2 linked regions of the Pelodiscus sinensis genome follow. The protein of the gene in region 1 interacts with the protein of each later gene in a pairwise test. Links are inferred from orthologs where the notes say so. Each region holds a gene or a part of one and is shown on either strand. Other genes may lie near its edges.

What was found.
Region 2: the proteins of PRKG1 (region 1) and ZNF646 interact in binary tests that used the Homo sapiens proteins (3 or more experiments, as listed by UniProt). The two-hybrid records come from large-scale screens. The link is inferred for Pelodiscus sinensis from reciprocal best matches to the Homo sapiens genes PRKG1 and ZNF646.

The regions. Positions count from the first base shown.
Region 1 is NC_134718.1:37,896,814-37,904,431, forward strand, and holds the start of PRKG1 (cGMP-dependent protein kinase 1), read right to left. Parts: upstream 3,040-7,618; 5' UTR 2,744-3,039; coding exon 2,433-2,743; intron 1,229-2,432; exon of another isoform or gene 1,206-1,228; intron 1-1,205. UniProt on the Homo sapiens protein: Serine/threonine protein kinase that acts as a key mediator of the nitric oxide (NO)/cGMP signaling pathway. GMP binding activates PRKG1, which phosphorylates serines and threonines on many cellular proteins.
Region 2 is NC_134714.1:133,519,029-133,526,755, forward strand, and holds the start of ZNF646 (zinc finger protein 646), read right to left. Parts: upstream 3,092-7,727; 5' UTR 2,936-3,091; intron 2,269-2,935; exon of another isoform or gene 1,961-2,268; intron 1,702-1,960; exon of another isoform or gene 1,295-1,701; intron 1-1,294. UniProt on the Homo sapiens protein: May be involved in transcriptional regulation.

The DNA of each region.
Region 1 (7,618 bases):
AGCTATTATTTCCTCTAGCAGATTTGTTCCACCCACACAAATTCCCACTCACCTTATGGTCTAGGAGAATATGCTAAGTTAGTACACTGAACTGCAAACCTTTTGATAACAAAATTAAAAACATTTATTTCCAAAATGACTCTTTTAAAGTAATTGTGCCGATAGTACATGAAATACGTGTGGTATTTTGATATAAACCATGAATTTAAAAGTATACAAGCTTTCTCGTGATTACGGGACCAAACATATCAACATGTATTGGATAGTGAAAAAGATTAAACACTCTATGGAGGATATAGTCTCTCTTCTAGATGTACTCGGTTTTCTTACTTAAACCAACTTGCATAGTCTGTGGCTGCAAATGTGAAACAAGAATAGATGACTTCCCAATTTTATTTAAAGCTTGAAAGATTTATTACAATTGTCCCTTCATCTACTGTGTTGGCAACCAAAACAGCCCAGTGGCAAAAGTCACTGGAGCAGCTTTTTTTCCTTCTGGAAAAGCTCACAAGAGCGAGGAAGAGTAACCTGAAGGTAGGCAGAGCATTATTCAGCACATGAATCTGGTGGAAACCTGCGCATTGGTCTCAACTTTAGGATGGTCCCCGATTTTCTTGTAGTTGGGCTGCATGTCAGGTAAGGAACTCCTCACACCTATTACTCCACCCACCACTTCCTCTGCCTTTCACGCCATATTACACTGCCAGCAAGACTTTGATCGGTTTTATTTTTCATTCGTATCTTGAGATGAGCATTGTTCACCCCAAAGTCATTATTTCTCATGTTATCTTTAGATACATTTAATTGGTTTATGTTCATTACTCTAAAGCCCTTTATAAAATCCAATCAAATGGCACAGAACTATACTATAACCAGGGAAGTATCATATTATGACCGTCACTTTGTCCAAATGTGCATAAGTAGACAAGGCCACATACCTCATTAGATACACCCGTAAGTCTTCCAATATATACAGTTAAGATACAGGACTAAGCTGGAAACGGAGTGAAAATTTAGGATTTCCCCATAAACTTTCTTAAACTGACACACAAAAACTGCTCTTGGAGCTCAATATAAACCTTCTAAAACAACACTCGCGTCCACCTATGGTTCCTGCCCCATTAAACTCTGAACACCTCCTCTCAGCCCAGACAGAAGCGGCTATGCTGCATGACGAACACCAAGAAAAGCACTTTCTTACACACCTGAACAAAGGACTGCCGAGTTTTCTGTCACGTGACAGTTACGGCAGCCTCTCCTTACAAGAAGATGAGGACAGCAAAGACTGCTAAGGATGGAAACAAAGCACAGAGCAAAGAAACAAACCCTTCTCTTCCCCTCAGCCCTTTACTCCTGTTGGGCACAGCGTAGGAGTTTCCTAGCAGCGCATAACAGCATGTGCTCTAATCCTCAGCCATAATTGGCTGACTGCATACATGCCATGCAACTTTTAACCTCGGAATTTCCTTGGTTATGTCAGTTATATCACCGCCTGGGGGGATGATTTAAATGCAAGTTAGCAGGTGTAGTGGACCGGATTTATATTGTAAATCTCCTCTAGTAGTTCGGTGGGCTTGGCTGCTAAGCTACAGCCAAGAGCCAATTTTTATATCCAAGTTGTGCGTCCCAATGGGCGGTGTTTAAAACCTAAAAAATGTGCAAACTTAGCTCCCTGCCCACAGCCACAGCTCAGAGACATCCTTAGCCCCCGGAAACGTGCAAAGCAGTTATGCAGAACGCTGTGGAACTAGTGACATGTGGATTTGTATCAAGTAAGACCTTTGAAACCCCCACACTTGTCAGATGCAGTCCCAAATTTAAAAAAAAGAAAGAAAAGCAAGAGATTGGATTTGCCTTTCTGGATGCTGACTGACATCAGCTCAGGGATTAGCAACACCTTTGTCGGGGGAGAAAATCAGTTTGTGATAGATCAGCCTACACCCGAATCCGGATAGTAAATTCTATTTTGCTTCATATAGTTGACATGTCAAACACCCAGCACTGCGGATACACTCAGCGCAGAGACCAAGAGCACAAAAAAGCCAGACATAAGAACGTACCACATTGGAAAAGACAGTCTGATGGTGACGCTGCCGTTAGCGGGGTTATTGTTTGGATGGGCAAGGTTACACCAGCGCTAGGGAGAATGCGCTTTCCCCCTTCACGGGTTGGGAACTCTGCTCACAGTGGGCTCGGAAATACCTGGACATTGGACAGAGACACAGCGGGATACGGATGCGTGCAGCTACCGTGGCTGAAGAAATGTGGGCAGCCCAGAGAAGCGTGGTTGGGGGGGGGGGCATTTCTGAGGATGAGCACAGAAATGGAAAGCAGAAGGTGCAGGACCCGTCTAAACAAGTGGATGGACAGACAATACAGAGACCATTCAACTACCAAAGACAGGATGTACACAACGCTTAAACCCTGCTTACTGTGGGCTCTTGGGGTAGAAGGGCAGGGTGACATGGCTGAGATCCTGGATGTCAAATGCGGTGGGCTCGGCTGAAATTGCCTGCCTCTTGGTCCTGTGTTCCCCCTGCAAGGTGGTGGTGGTTTGCTGATGCGCCTGCTGGGTGGCGGGCCGGATCACCGAGCGGTACTTATCCAGCTCGTTTTGTAGTTTCTGGATCAGTTCGTCCTTCTGATCCAACTCCAGCTCCAGCTCGTCGATGAGCGCATCCCGCTGCCTCAGCTCCTCGATTTTCTCCTGCAGCGCGTACTGTAAATCCCGCAAAGTGCCCATACTCCTCCTGGGGCCAGGGGCTCCTGCTTCCGGAGCCTGTCTCTCTCCCCCGCTCCCAGCAACTTTCCCCGAAGTACCCGCAGCTTCCCCACTTCAGCCAACTTTGCCGATCGCTCCCGATCGACCTGCCGCCGGCGGATTCCTCCAGCCCTTTAAACACGCCCCCAGCCTGCGCGGGGGCGGGGGGAGCTTGGCAGCGATCCGCGCAGAGCTACGGAGGGAGGATTAGCGACATAATCTTAAACGGAACCCCACCAGCACCACTCTCCCGGAGGCTGGGTTGTTAAGGGTGATTTCGATCTGCCTGCGTCAGGCTAGACTGGAGAGGGAGAGACGGGGGGGGGGGGGGGGGGGGGAAGAGAAGAGAGAGAAAGGGGCGGCTGCAAGATGCGGTAACACATGCACTTTCCCTAGGACTGTGTCAGGGGCAGGGCTACTTTAAGTGTAATTAGTTTCCCCGAGTCTCTACCCTCCACCCTGCTTCGGAAGAGGGGCGGCAGCTTTGCAATTCCAGACTCTTCAATATTTCTCCAGCAAGGCCCCGTTTTCTGGGCAGGTCCAGCATTAGAACCGGCTGCACCCCTCACTCTTCCCCACATGAATAAATAAATCACAATGCTGCCAAACCTAAAGCAATGGCAGGAAAATCTGCGCCGTTTTCTGATGCCACCCAACAAAGTTACCGCTGGGGTAGGATGGCTTCGCTTCCCCCTTTGCCAGGCATTCAGATTTTACAGCCAACAGCTTATCCAATAATTCACTGTAATTACAACTATTAGACTAAGCAGGTATCTATTGTTAAGGTTTCACACGCCATTAAGTCCGTTTTAAGTTTGGAAGAAACCTAAGGAATCATTCAGCCTGAACCAGACTGCTATTCAAATGCTGTTCGCGGTGTGACTGGGGGTTCAAATGCTGTTTGCGGTGTGACTGGGGGTTCTTCCTGGACCTTGCCAGGCTTTGGCTCACCCAAATTGCACTGCACGGACCCAGAACTGATATAACTGCTCCTATTGTCTCTCTAAACAGGCACACCCTGACAGAGCCTGTGGCTTGTGTAACCCAGAGGCACTGAGACCACTGACATGGGAGCATGATGAAGTCTGCCCTACAACCTTAGCTATAGAGCAGACTTCACTCTCCCGTGGCAATGGTCTCAGTGCCTCTCGGTTACACACGGATGTTTCAAAAATAAGTGGATGGGACTAGGATCCTGGCAGTGATGGGCAGCAATACCAAAAATCCCACTAGATCTATGGAGGACAAGCATAATTTCCTCCAGTGCTCAAAAAATCCCTAGACCCCGCTGCAGTACAGTGGATGAAGAGCACAAAATAGGTTCCAATAGCTGGATCCAGCCAGCTTTGATCTCTCATCTTCCATATCTCACAATGTCAAAAGAGACTGAGAGTTCATCTAACACAGGAAAGGCAAGATCCAACCAAATTCCAGTAGAACAGTGTGAAGGACCTAGCACTTTGATTCTGCCAGTTTGACCACACTCACTCAATTTCTAGTGTCCTGTAAAGTCACAAAAGCCTTTGGCCATATATCCCCAAGATGTAAGTGAAAAAAGTGGCTATATCCTCCTGGATCCATGTGCATATTTGGATTTTCACATGTTCATATGCCACGATATATATCACATGTTTATTATGAAAGAGGACCTGACATACAATAGACTATTTTCTGGATCTAGCAAAACCCAGGTGTAAAGTGTGCATTTTAGTTTTGTCTTACAAATGATGTACTTGATGCACAGATCTTCTGGTCTAGCAGAAGCAGTGATATAGGTTTGGATAATATGAGGTGGGGTGTTAGTGCTAAAAAGAGGTAGGATTCAGCAGGGCCTTCTATCACAATTATAGAATTTAGGGGTTTTAGGGACACAAGATCCAGGTGAATCCAGATGCTGGATCTGAGTTGTTGCAGCTTTCATGTACCAGAAAGCATCAAGATTAATTTTTTGTCAGGATACTAGACTAGCTCTTCAGTCTTTTAGGCATTAGAATTGGGAGGAGGGAGGACCAAAAACTGACAGAAGGTGGCAGCTGTAGGGTTCCACAAATGAATGGTTGCAGCACTCATGTAGTAAGATGTGTCAGGGTCCAAACTTTTTTTAATGCAGTAGGAGTAACTAGATTCATTCCCCAGTTGTGGCTTTGTACTGAAAATATACAAGATACTTCAAAATGCAGACGGATCCAGTTTTTATCTTTTTCTGTTGTTGAGTAATGCCACTTGAGTGACTCTACAGCCCCAGCTTTCCACCTGCTGATAGTCTCTATAATATAGATAGATGAACATCTAAAAAAACCACGTTCTAAATCCCTTATAGTACAAAATGATTGTTTTAAAGGACTAAACATTACCATAAATATTTGATGAGTCTCTGCAGCTTCCTGCATGTATTTGATTCTCTGTATATTTTTCAACAAACAATTTTGGGTTACACAATGCTCAAATACCATTTCAAATAAATATGCAGCAGTTTAAATCTTTTAGCTGGGCTGTTTTAAACCAAGAGTGATACAATTTCATTTGTCTTTTCAAAATATGGACACTGTGTAAACATTTTAAGTTCAGAACCCAATTTGCTGAATATTTTCTCCCACTTCATCTTAGTAAATTGTTTGGGTTCTATCACAATATTTCTATGATAAAGATGAGTGCATCTGCATAACTTTTGCTGTTTACAAAATATAAATGAATGCTAAAATTGATGTATTATTTCCCTTTCTTTAAATCAACATATTTATTTTTTCTTTCTTTCCCCCAATCAGATTAGACCCTGACACTTAGATAATGAAATTGTATGGCTGCTGACTGAAGCCCAGACTTCAATACAATTGTTACCCAAAGTGGAAATTGATCCATAACTTTTGAGTAGCAAATAACACCACATAATTCTTTTATTTAGATTTCATTTACAGTGCATAACCTACAATCTAGATAGCTATATGTTACATGAAAAAGGAAAGACATCCATGAAATTACACTGGATCAATAAAGCTAGCAGAGGTGCACAAGGTCAGGACTGATGTGTTTTATATAGCGTCATACACATGAAGCTCTGAAATAGGTTGACATCAATGGTTATAAAAGCTTGCACATCTTCTGCTTACTTTGTCACTTAAACCATTGTTATTGGCTGCTCATATTTATGAGCAATGAAACTGGTCATATTACTCTAAATTCTTTCTAAAATAAAAAACATACTTATGGATAGAGGACATGCTCCTGTGGTAGCCATGGGAACTGAGATCCAAAGACAGTTTGAGTGACAAATTACAACAAACACCACCACAAATAAACACGGAAATAATCTTAATAGATATAACTTTAAAACCAAAGAATCCCAAAGCACTTCTACTATCAACAAAATCTTGCCAGGTGATCGACTCTGACGACTGTTGGCAGCAAAAAGTAACAACCATATTTGTTTTCTAATATCCTAAGGATGCCACAGGGCTAATTATGAATTCAGTGAGGATAAGAACAGCCATACTGGGTCAGATCAAGGGTCCATCTAGCCCAGTATTCTGTCTTCCAACAGTGACTAGCACTAAGTGCCCCAAGATGGAATGAACAGAAAAAATAATCAAGCAATCCCACCCCATCACCCATTTCCAGCCTCTGACAAACAGAGGCTAAGGACACCATTGCTACCCTTTTTTGCATTTCTTGAGGAGAGCCCATGTGGAGTTAATAGATTAGATAGGCAAACCCCGTGCATAAGAAATCCCAGCACTGTAATTTAGGGAACACATCCAATACAACTGCAACATCCCTGACCACATTGGTTCTCTGACACAGCCCCAGCAGCACTCACCACGCTGTGGCGAACTGGGGCAGTCTTCTCCCATCCTTGTACCAGGACAGCCATTTCAGCTCTTTCAAGTGGATACAACCCTGCTCTTCCCAGCAAGAACCCCCACAGAATCCCCTACCCATCTTCATTTCTGGTGGTTCCTCTACGTCCAGCAATCTATCGACACCTACAGGGCTGGCGAAGTTTCTTCACCACTCCCTCACCTTCAGCCTTTGGTTCCTGCTTAAAGCCAGCAGGCACCAGCCTTTTTTACTTTCAGACTTCAGCTGTCTTTAGTCTTTGCTCTCTGTCTGGCACAGGAAGAACAGCAGGCTGTCCCTTCACTGTTTTTTTAACCCCCCCCCCCCCCCCCCCCCCCAGCCCTTTTCATCCTTCTAGGCTTTGGCCTTTGAAATCAGTAAGCTAGCACCACCACTGGCTTCCTGATAACTGCCTTCTTCCTAGGAAGCTTCTCTGTTCACTGCTGTTTTCTATACAGGCTTCCTCTATTCTCCTGGGTTTTCCTGACTCCCTAGGATTCTCAGTCACTGGGTCACTCCCAGATCTTTTATGGCTTCCAGGTGCTACTGTAAGGATCAAATGCTGTATATGTTAATGTTATATTGGCCCACCTTCTTAATTAGCCACATAGGGAGCACCTGTTCCTGCACTGGGGCATCACACCTGCTTCATTTACAGAGTTCTTATTACAGAACTTTAATCCCAATTCTCTGTGCCTTCGTAAGTATTAATTGACTAATTTAATGTATGTCTCTTCCAGCTGAGAAATCCTCGTGAAGCACCTGCCTTAGAACTCCACAGTGGACTGTACAACAAACAGTGGAAGAATGAGGTACACAAACTAAAGGGCCCATAGTTAATGAGTTCATATGCGGCTAAGTATCCTATGATAAAGGTCTGATTTTAGAATGACCACTTAATTTTTCTTAAGTATCTGTCTAGATGCTATGCACACAGAATACTGCCTGATACTCACTGGTAAGGTAATGATAAAAATGAAAACAAAAAGGCATCTTAAATGTGAAACAGCTACAACTTCTCTG
Region 2 (7,727 bases), on another chromosome or scaffold:
TTATGACTCCAGATTGCCACCTGTAACGAACTAAATAAAGGACTAAATGCAACTCTGTTTAATTTGTAACCTTTGCCCCGAAAAAACGTAACGTCACGCAGGTATATTTCGGCGTTTCTGAACACTGGCAACTGGCTTTAACTGACTCCATATTTTAAGGACTTCAGGGTGGGAAACGCGCACACACACACTCTCTCTGAGTCCACAATTTCCTCCAGAAAAGGCCAGCACCACACAGATTTATGTGACGAGACAAAAAATTGACAATGGAAGTTTTCCACTCCCATGAGCAAAGATCGCTGCCGGCTTGAGATGAAGTATAAAAAGTTGAAGCCCAAGAGAAGACTTTTTGGCTGCCTGACACACAATCTGCCAGGGACTATAAGATCTGTGCCCAGTGTAACCCATTTGCCTTCAATGCCCCAGATATTGCTAAAGAAACAACATTCTCCCAGGTCAGCCAGAGGGTGCATGTGGGTGGCTGTTTTCTGTTTAGTCACACTTGCTGTCCAAGTTTCTAGGCCCCCAGCATGCTCATAGGAGACAAGTCAACAAGGCTACTCCCCAAGGTCGGCAGAGAAAGCAGCTCGCTGTGCTCTGGGGGACAACACACGTCACTCCGCCTTGCGACCTGGCTGCTTCTCGGGTGGGCTACTGGGAAACAGCCGCACAGTGACACAGCACGGGGATGCACCGCCTGGCACGGGGATGCTGCCATCTCTGGGGAGGGCCAGCAGGGTAACACAGCCACAGGCCGGGCTGCCTGGCAGAGCGCTCATCCTGCAACGCAGCAGCTCCTAGGGCGGGATGCAGCAGGGGGACAGGCAGCCCCATGTGTGGCGAAGGGAAGAGGGACACGACTCTTGGAACCGCAGGGAGAGGAGCTGGAACGAGCCAGACTCTCCGCAGCCGCAGGAGGGGAGCGGGGGCCAGTGGTTAGAGCAGGGGGAAGGCTGGGAACCAGGACTCCTGGGGTCTGTCCCCAGCGGTGGGGGGGGGGGGGGCGGGAAGAGCGGGGCCCAGTGGTTAGCGCTGCGGGGGGGGGAGCGGGGGGGGGCTGGTTAGCGCTGCGGGGGGGGGAGCGGGGCCCAGTGGTTAGCGCTGCGGGGGGGGGGCTGTGGGGGGAGCGGTTAGCGCTGCGGGGGGGGACTGTGGGGGGGAGCGGGGGGGCTGGTTAGCGCTGCGGGGGGGGAGCGGGGCCCAGTGGTTAGCGCTGCGGGGGGGGGCTGTGGGGGGAGCGGTTAGCGCTGCGGGGGGGTCCCGGCTCTGCCCCCCCCGGCGCCCCCCCTCTTACCTTCAGGGGCCCCCCCGCGTGCCGGGGGCGGGGCCTAGCGGGGGGGCGGGGGCGCCGACTCCGGGGGCCACGTCGGGGGCGAGCCCCGGGGCTGCCGAGCGGGGGGAGGCTCCTCGCCGGGCCCCCCCGGGAGCGGAAACGGGCCCCCCCGCGCGCCCTGCCGGGGCCGCACGACTCCCCCCGGCCCGGGCCCCGCGGACACTTCCTTTTGTTGCTAGGAAACAGGAAATGTGCGGCGGGGAAAGGCGGCCGGGCTGCCCGGGCGCGGGGCGCCACTTCCGGCGGCGTCCCCGCCTAAAGGGCCCCCCCCGGCACGCGCGGCTCCCAGGGACCGTTCCGCCCCTCCGAAGGGCGGGGGGAGCGCCCAGAACACTCAGACCCGCCCCGCCCCCTCCTTGTGTCACAGGCAAACCCTTCCCCTCCCGCATGTGCCAGGACTCCTGGGTTAAGGGGGGGGGGGAAGAGCCAGGACTCCTGGTTTCTTCTCCCCCCCCCCCCGCTGTGTCCTATTCAAAGCCCCCCTTCACCCCGCCCACTTCCTTTGTGACGCTGCTCTGGCACCACCCCTCCCATTGGCTGAGCTGGGTGCCACACTTCCGGTTATGGCCCCACACCCCCTCCCCCTGCCATGCCACACTTCCTGCGGTGCAACCCCCAACCGCTCCCCGCCCCCAACCGCCGCCCTGGAAACAAGGTTCCGCCCTGTGCATTCTAGCCCCCGAGTGCACCCCACCCTGCTGTCCCTGGGGTGCTGCAACCCCCCCTGAGCTGGGAGGCAATAAATCCCTCCGGCTGGAAACCTGCGGGGCCTTGGGAGGGTTAATACCCCTTTAAGCGACTCCTGTGCTTTGCATTTCTCCCCCACCCCCTCCTCTGCTGCCTTCTCCCGCAGGGTCCTAGGGGCTGACTCATTCTGCTCCAGCGGGGAGTGGGGGCAGCAGCTTCGGCAGCAGCAAAAGAGACGCAGGAGCCAGGTAAGGCGGAGGCCAAAGCAGCGCAGCCCCTGCTCAGCCGGGCCCCAGCCAGCTCCTGGTTTTGCATGCAAGAGGGGGGGGTCTGCTTTGCAACCCCCCCCCCCCCCCCCAGGACAGCGCCTCTCCCCTGCTCCCAGCCCTCCTGGCTCCTTGCAGCCTGGTGCGAGCCCGGCCCGAGCCGGCGGCTGTTCCCCGTGGTGGGAGCGGGTGCAGCCCTGCCGCCGCGCTGCTGCGAAGCCCGGGCGGGCGGGCGGCTCCCGGCCCGTGGTCCTAGAGAGAGACATTTTGCAAGCGCCCCGTCCTGCAGCGCGCTCGGCTTTTGCACGGCTGCGGGGGCGGCTCTCCTATGCCACGGCTCCGTGCTCCCGGGCGGAGGAGAATCCACCATCCCCCCCCCCCCTTTTGGGGGAGCATCCCAGCAGCGCCCCGCTTTGCAATGCCTCCCTGGGGCGGCGTCTCCTCGCTCGGTCCTAAAACCAGCCATTTTGCGAGCGCAGAGGGGCCCGCCCTTTGCAAAAGGCCTCGCCTTGCAAATCACCCCCCCCCCCAGCCACGTTGCTGGGCTTCTCTGCTGCAGGCTACGCGAGGGGGTCGCCTCCAGGCCTGAAATGCACCCAGCGGGCTCCCCTCGCCCTGCCTCCCAGCTCCCGGGGCTTGCACGTCCCACCTTCCCCGGCTCTGGCTCCAGCCATGGTGCTCGACAGGCTGAGCCGGGCAGGAACGCGGTCTCCTGGCGCTTCTCTGCCGGGCCCTGCAGGATTACACCCCTTTGCACCGGCCTGGCCTCCCCCGGTCCTAAAGCCAGTCCTTTCACAATGGCTTTCCGCCTCCCGGCTCGCTCCCCCGGCCTGCCCGAGATCCGGAGCCCGGCAGCTGCCGGTCCTAGAGGGACCCAGGTCGCTTGGCTGCGCAGACACCCCCTGGCTGCACTGGCTGCCCCAGGCTTGCTCCTGACACCTGTGGGCATCTCCGCCCGAGCTGGCGGCTGAGCCCAAGGCAGCCTGGCATCCGCCACATGCTGATTTGTCTGTAAGCCCGGAGAGTTGCCAGAGGCCTGGAAAAAAGCAAATGTGCCAATTGTTTTTTAAAGGGACGATTCAGGTAATTCTAGACCTGACCTCACCTTCTCCTGGTGACCCCCGTTATCCTGGGGAGAGGATGACTTAAGAATGAAAGGGGTGTCACGTAATTAATGCAAATCAGTGGTGGGCAGGGGGTCCATAGAACCTGTAACTCAGTGGTCCCCAATGCGGTGCTCACCAGCGCCATGGTATTTATGTGCACCCGCCGAGTGACCAGGGCCGGCACAAGCCATTCTTGAGCCCCGGGCACGTGGCTAGAGCCGGCTCGAGCCATTCCTGCGCCCTGGGCAGTCGGCGCACGATGCATGCGTGGCTCCGCCCCTAGGTGCACGATGCATGCGTGGCTCCGCCCCTAGGTGCACGATGCATGCGTGGCTCCGCCCCCAGGTGCACGACGCATGTGTGGCTCCGCCCTCCGGCGCGCGGCGCACCTTACAGCTGCCATCGGGCACCCCCCATAGGTTGGTGCCCCGGGCAGCTGCCCAGCTAGCCCCTCCCCCTTAATCCAGCCCTGCGTGTGGCACGTGCACGGCCGCAGCCCTGCCCCCGGGCGCCCGGCAGCCCCAAAAGGTTGGGGACCACTGCTGTGACAATGTTTTGCTGATGCCGATAGTCGTACTGATGTGATCTATCTTTGGGCATCTGGAAGGGGTTTGACTGGGGAGCATATGACGTCGGATTAAGAAGCTAGAATGTTTATCAAATGCACAAGGCCCGGGTGCAATGGTTTAAAACGTGAACAGCTGCGAGATCTCAAAATTCTAGAATACTAGGACTGGAAGGGACCTCGAGAGGTCGTCATGGCAGGACCCAGCACCATCTAGATCAGGGCTACTCAACTTTGGAAGCCCCGGGTGCCACACTGATACTCACAGCACATGCCAAAGGCCACAACTGAAGTGTGGTTGCATGTACATGAAATTAAAAATACAAATAAATGCAAATAGCTTCTTGCACACTGATGGGCATGAATACAAAGATGAAGGCAAGTCTACACAGCACGCAGGCCCCATTTAAGTCAGTTCTGCTGATCTTAATAAAATGCAACATTTACCCCATTTCCACCCATAGGACAGCACTTTTGATGAGCAACGACAGTCCAGGAATTTGACTACTAAAGCGCATCTCAACAGAAGGCCATTCTATTGACGACTTTTTGTTTTGGCTCCCGCCCGGGGGCCGCACACTGAGTCCCACGTAAACCCAAACTTGCACCGCGGGCCGCAAGCAATCAGGTTCTCGGCCGCATGCGGTGAGAAGCCCTGGTCTAGATCAACCCTGACAGGTGTCTGTCTAACCTCCTCTTACATATCTCCAGTGATGGAGATTCCACAACCCCCCAGGCAATTTATTCCAGGCTATGTCTATACGTGCGGCGTCTTGCACGAGAAATATGCAAAAGAGGCTGAGCGTGGAATATCGCCGAGCTCCATTTGCATACCTAATGAGCCGCCCTTTTTGCGGAAGAGGCTCTTGCGCCAGAAGGAGCTGTCTACACAGCTGTCTTCTTGTGCGAGAAAAACCCTCTTGCGCAATGCCGTCACGCCGATTATTTTCCGGGATAACCGCATTGCGCAAGAGGTGTAGCGGCTCTTCTGCAAAAACGGTGGCTCATTAGGTATGCAAATGAGGCTCGGCGATATTCCATGCATCGCCTTATTTGCATATTTCTCGTGCAAGAAGCCGCGAGTGTAGACATAGCCCCAGTGTTGGCCCACCTTGACAGCAGGAAGTTTTTCCTGACGTCCCACTTAAATCTCCCTGCTGCGGTGGAAGGGTGCCCCTAGCGTGGTCTTGCAGGGAACATAAAGCGGCCAGTCTGGGTCACAGCAAAGGTCCATCTAGCCCAGTGTCCTGTCTGCCCACAGTGGTACCCAGAGGGAGTGAACAGAACAGGAAATCATCCAGTGATCCCTCCCCATTCCCAGCCTCTGGCAGAGGCCAGGGACGCCATTGATGGACCTAACCTCCAGGAATGTTTCCGGCTCTTTTTTAACCCTATTAAAGTCTGGGTCCTTTCTTGGCCCTAAGCTATTTCACCTTTTTCTCCTTGGCCTGGCAGAAAGCACAAAATCTTCACCCACAGCATTTCCAGGGGCATAAAAATGAGAGGACTGGGAAGTCCTGAAGAGAAGGGATCTCTGATACAGAGCGATTTGGCTCGCTGGGTAAGCTGGGGCAAGCACATAATGGCTGTGTCTACACTGGCCATTTATTCCAGAAAATCAGCCGCTTTTCCAGAATAACTTGCCAGCTGTCTACACTGGCCCCTTGAATTTCCGGAAAAGCACTGACGATCTAATGTAAAATCGTCAGTGTTTTTCCAGAAAAACTATGCTGTTCCCGTTCGGGCAAAAGTCCTTTTCTGGAAAACTGTTCCGGAAAAGGGCCAGTGTAGACAGCTCAGTTTTCTTTTCTGCAAAAAAGCCCCGATCGAAAAAATGGCACCCCGGGCTTTTTTGTGGAAAAGTGCGTCTACATTGGCACGGACACTTTTCCACAAAAAGTGCTTTTCCGGAAAAGCATCCTGCCAATGTAGACGCGCTTTTTCCGAAAATGCTTATAACGGAAAAGTTTTCTGTTTTAAGCATTTCCGGAAAAGGGTGCCAGTGTAGACGTAGCCAACGTGTGTTGAGCTAGCTAAATGTAAATGCGTCTTTTTCAGGGTCACGGCTTCCCAGGAGCGAGCAGGCCGTATGAACGGGGTGGTGATGTTGGAAAAGATTTAGGGGTCAAGTTCAGTTGCCCAGGGGCCCCCCGTGCAAGGTCGTGTTGGCTCTTTCGGCCACGATCCTGATAAACAGGCCGATCTCAAGCAGGGCGGTTATTTGTCTTCTGCATGGCCCTGTTGGGGCGGCTGTTTCCCGTTTCCATGCAAACACGCCCTCTAGTGGCTGACTCCAAGAGATCCGTCTGTTCTAGGGATGTTAAAATGAATCCGCTGATCGACTAGTCGATGGAATTTCCATCAACGATTCGATACGTCGATAGGGACGCTTCCGCTTTGGAATGTAGCAAGAGCCCGCCCGGCTGTTGCTTCGTTTCAAAGACGGAAGTGCCGCGCGGCGTTCCACCTTTGAAATGTAGAAGGGGCCTAGCCAGTTCCCCCCAGCACTCCCTTCTCTACCCCCCGTCCCCTCCCCGTTGCCTCTTTCCGAGAGAGGCAACAAGGGGGGGAAGCAACTAGTCGCTGAGTGTGTCGCTTACATCCCTAGTGTGACGTAGTGGGGGTACCCTGCTGGTTGCTGAGCTTGGACTGTAGGCTTGACCCCCACTGGCTGTTGTCTGTAGCACGGCCCAGCAGGACAGGGGATGAGTCACTAGACAAGGGTCTCCCAACCTGCCCGACCAGTTACCTCCCGGGGAGAGAAACAAAGGAAGGAGGGGAGGCCAGCCCTGGCTGGGGGGCAGGGCTGGAAGACAGGTTTGAGTTTCTATCTGGGAAGCAGGGAGAAGGAGCTAGGGAGGGGGCTGGGATTGTAGGGCCCAGCCACCCCCCATCTCAAGGGAGGGCACTGAGGACTCCTAGCCCCCATTCCTGTAACCAGATTACATCTGTGCTGTGCTGTATCCTGGAGAAGCAATAAACTCCCTCTATTCTACCGGCCGGTGGAGTCTGCTCGTGCCACTACGGGGGTGCAGGAGACGGGGACACCCCAACACGCCCTCACACCTAGTCTGTTCCTCGTAACAAAGAAACGAGTGACTTGATCCCACTCTGTGACTATGTTTACACTGGCGCGATCTTGTGCCAGAAGTATGCAAATGAGGCTAAGCATGGACTATCGCCGAGCCTCATTTGCATACCTAACGAGCCGCCATTTTTGCAGAAGAGGCTCTTGCGCCCGAAGGAGCTGTCTACACTGCCCCGTCTTGCGCAAGAAAACCCCTCTTGCGCAATGCCGCTACGCTGATTATTTTCAGGAAGAACGGCGTTGCGCCAGAGGGGTTTTCTTGTGCAAGACGGGGCCGTGTAGACAGCTCCTCCTGGCGCAAAAGCCTCTTCCGCAAAAATGATGGCTCATTAGGTATGCAAATGAGGCTCGGTGATATTCCACGCCTAGCCTCATTTGCATACTTCTGGCGCAAGATTGCGCCAGTGTAGACATAGCCTGTGAGTAGCCAAAAATAGCCAATACGGGGCTCTTAGCCTGGCAGAGAGAGGTCAAACAGCATCTAGTAGGTGAAAGTTGAAGACAAATTCAGACAGAAAATACGCTGGACATTTTGGACCGGGTGTGTGTGGGTGGGGAGGGGAGGATTAACCATTGGAACAATTTACCAAGGGCGCGGGTGGATTTTCTGCTGCCGCCGATGAAGATGAAGGGACAAATTCTTTTGAGGATGTTCTCAGGCCTGTGTGCGCCGGGAGGTTGG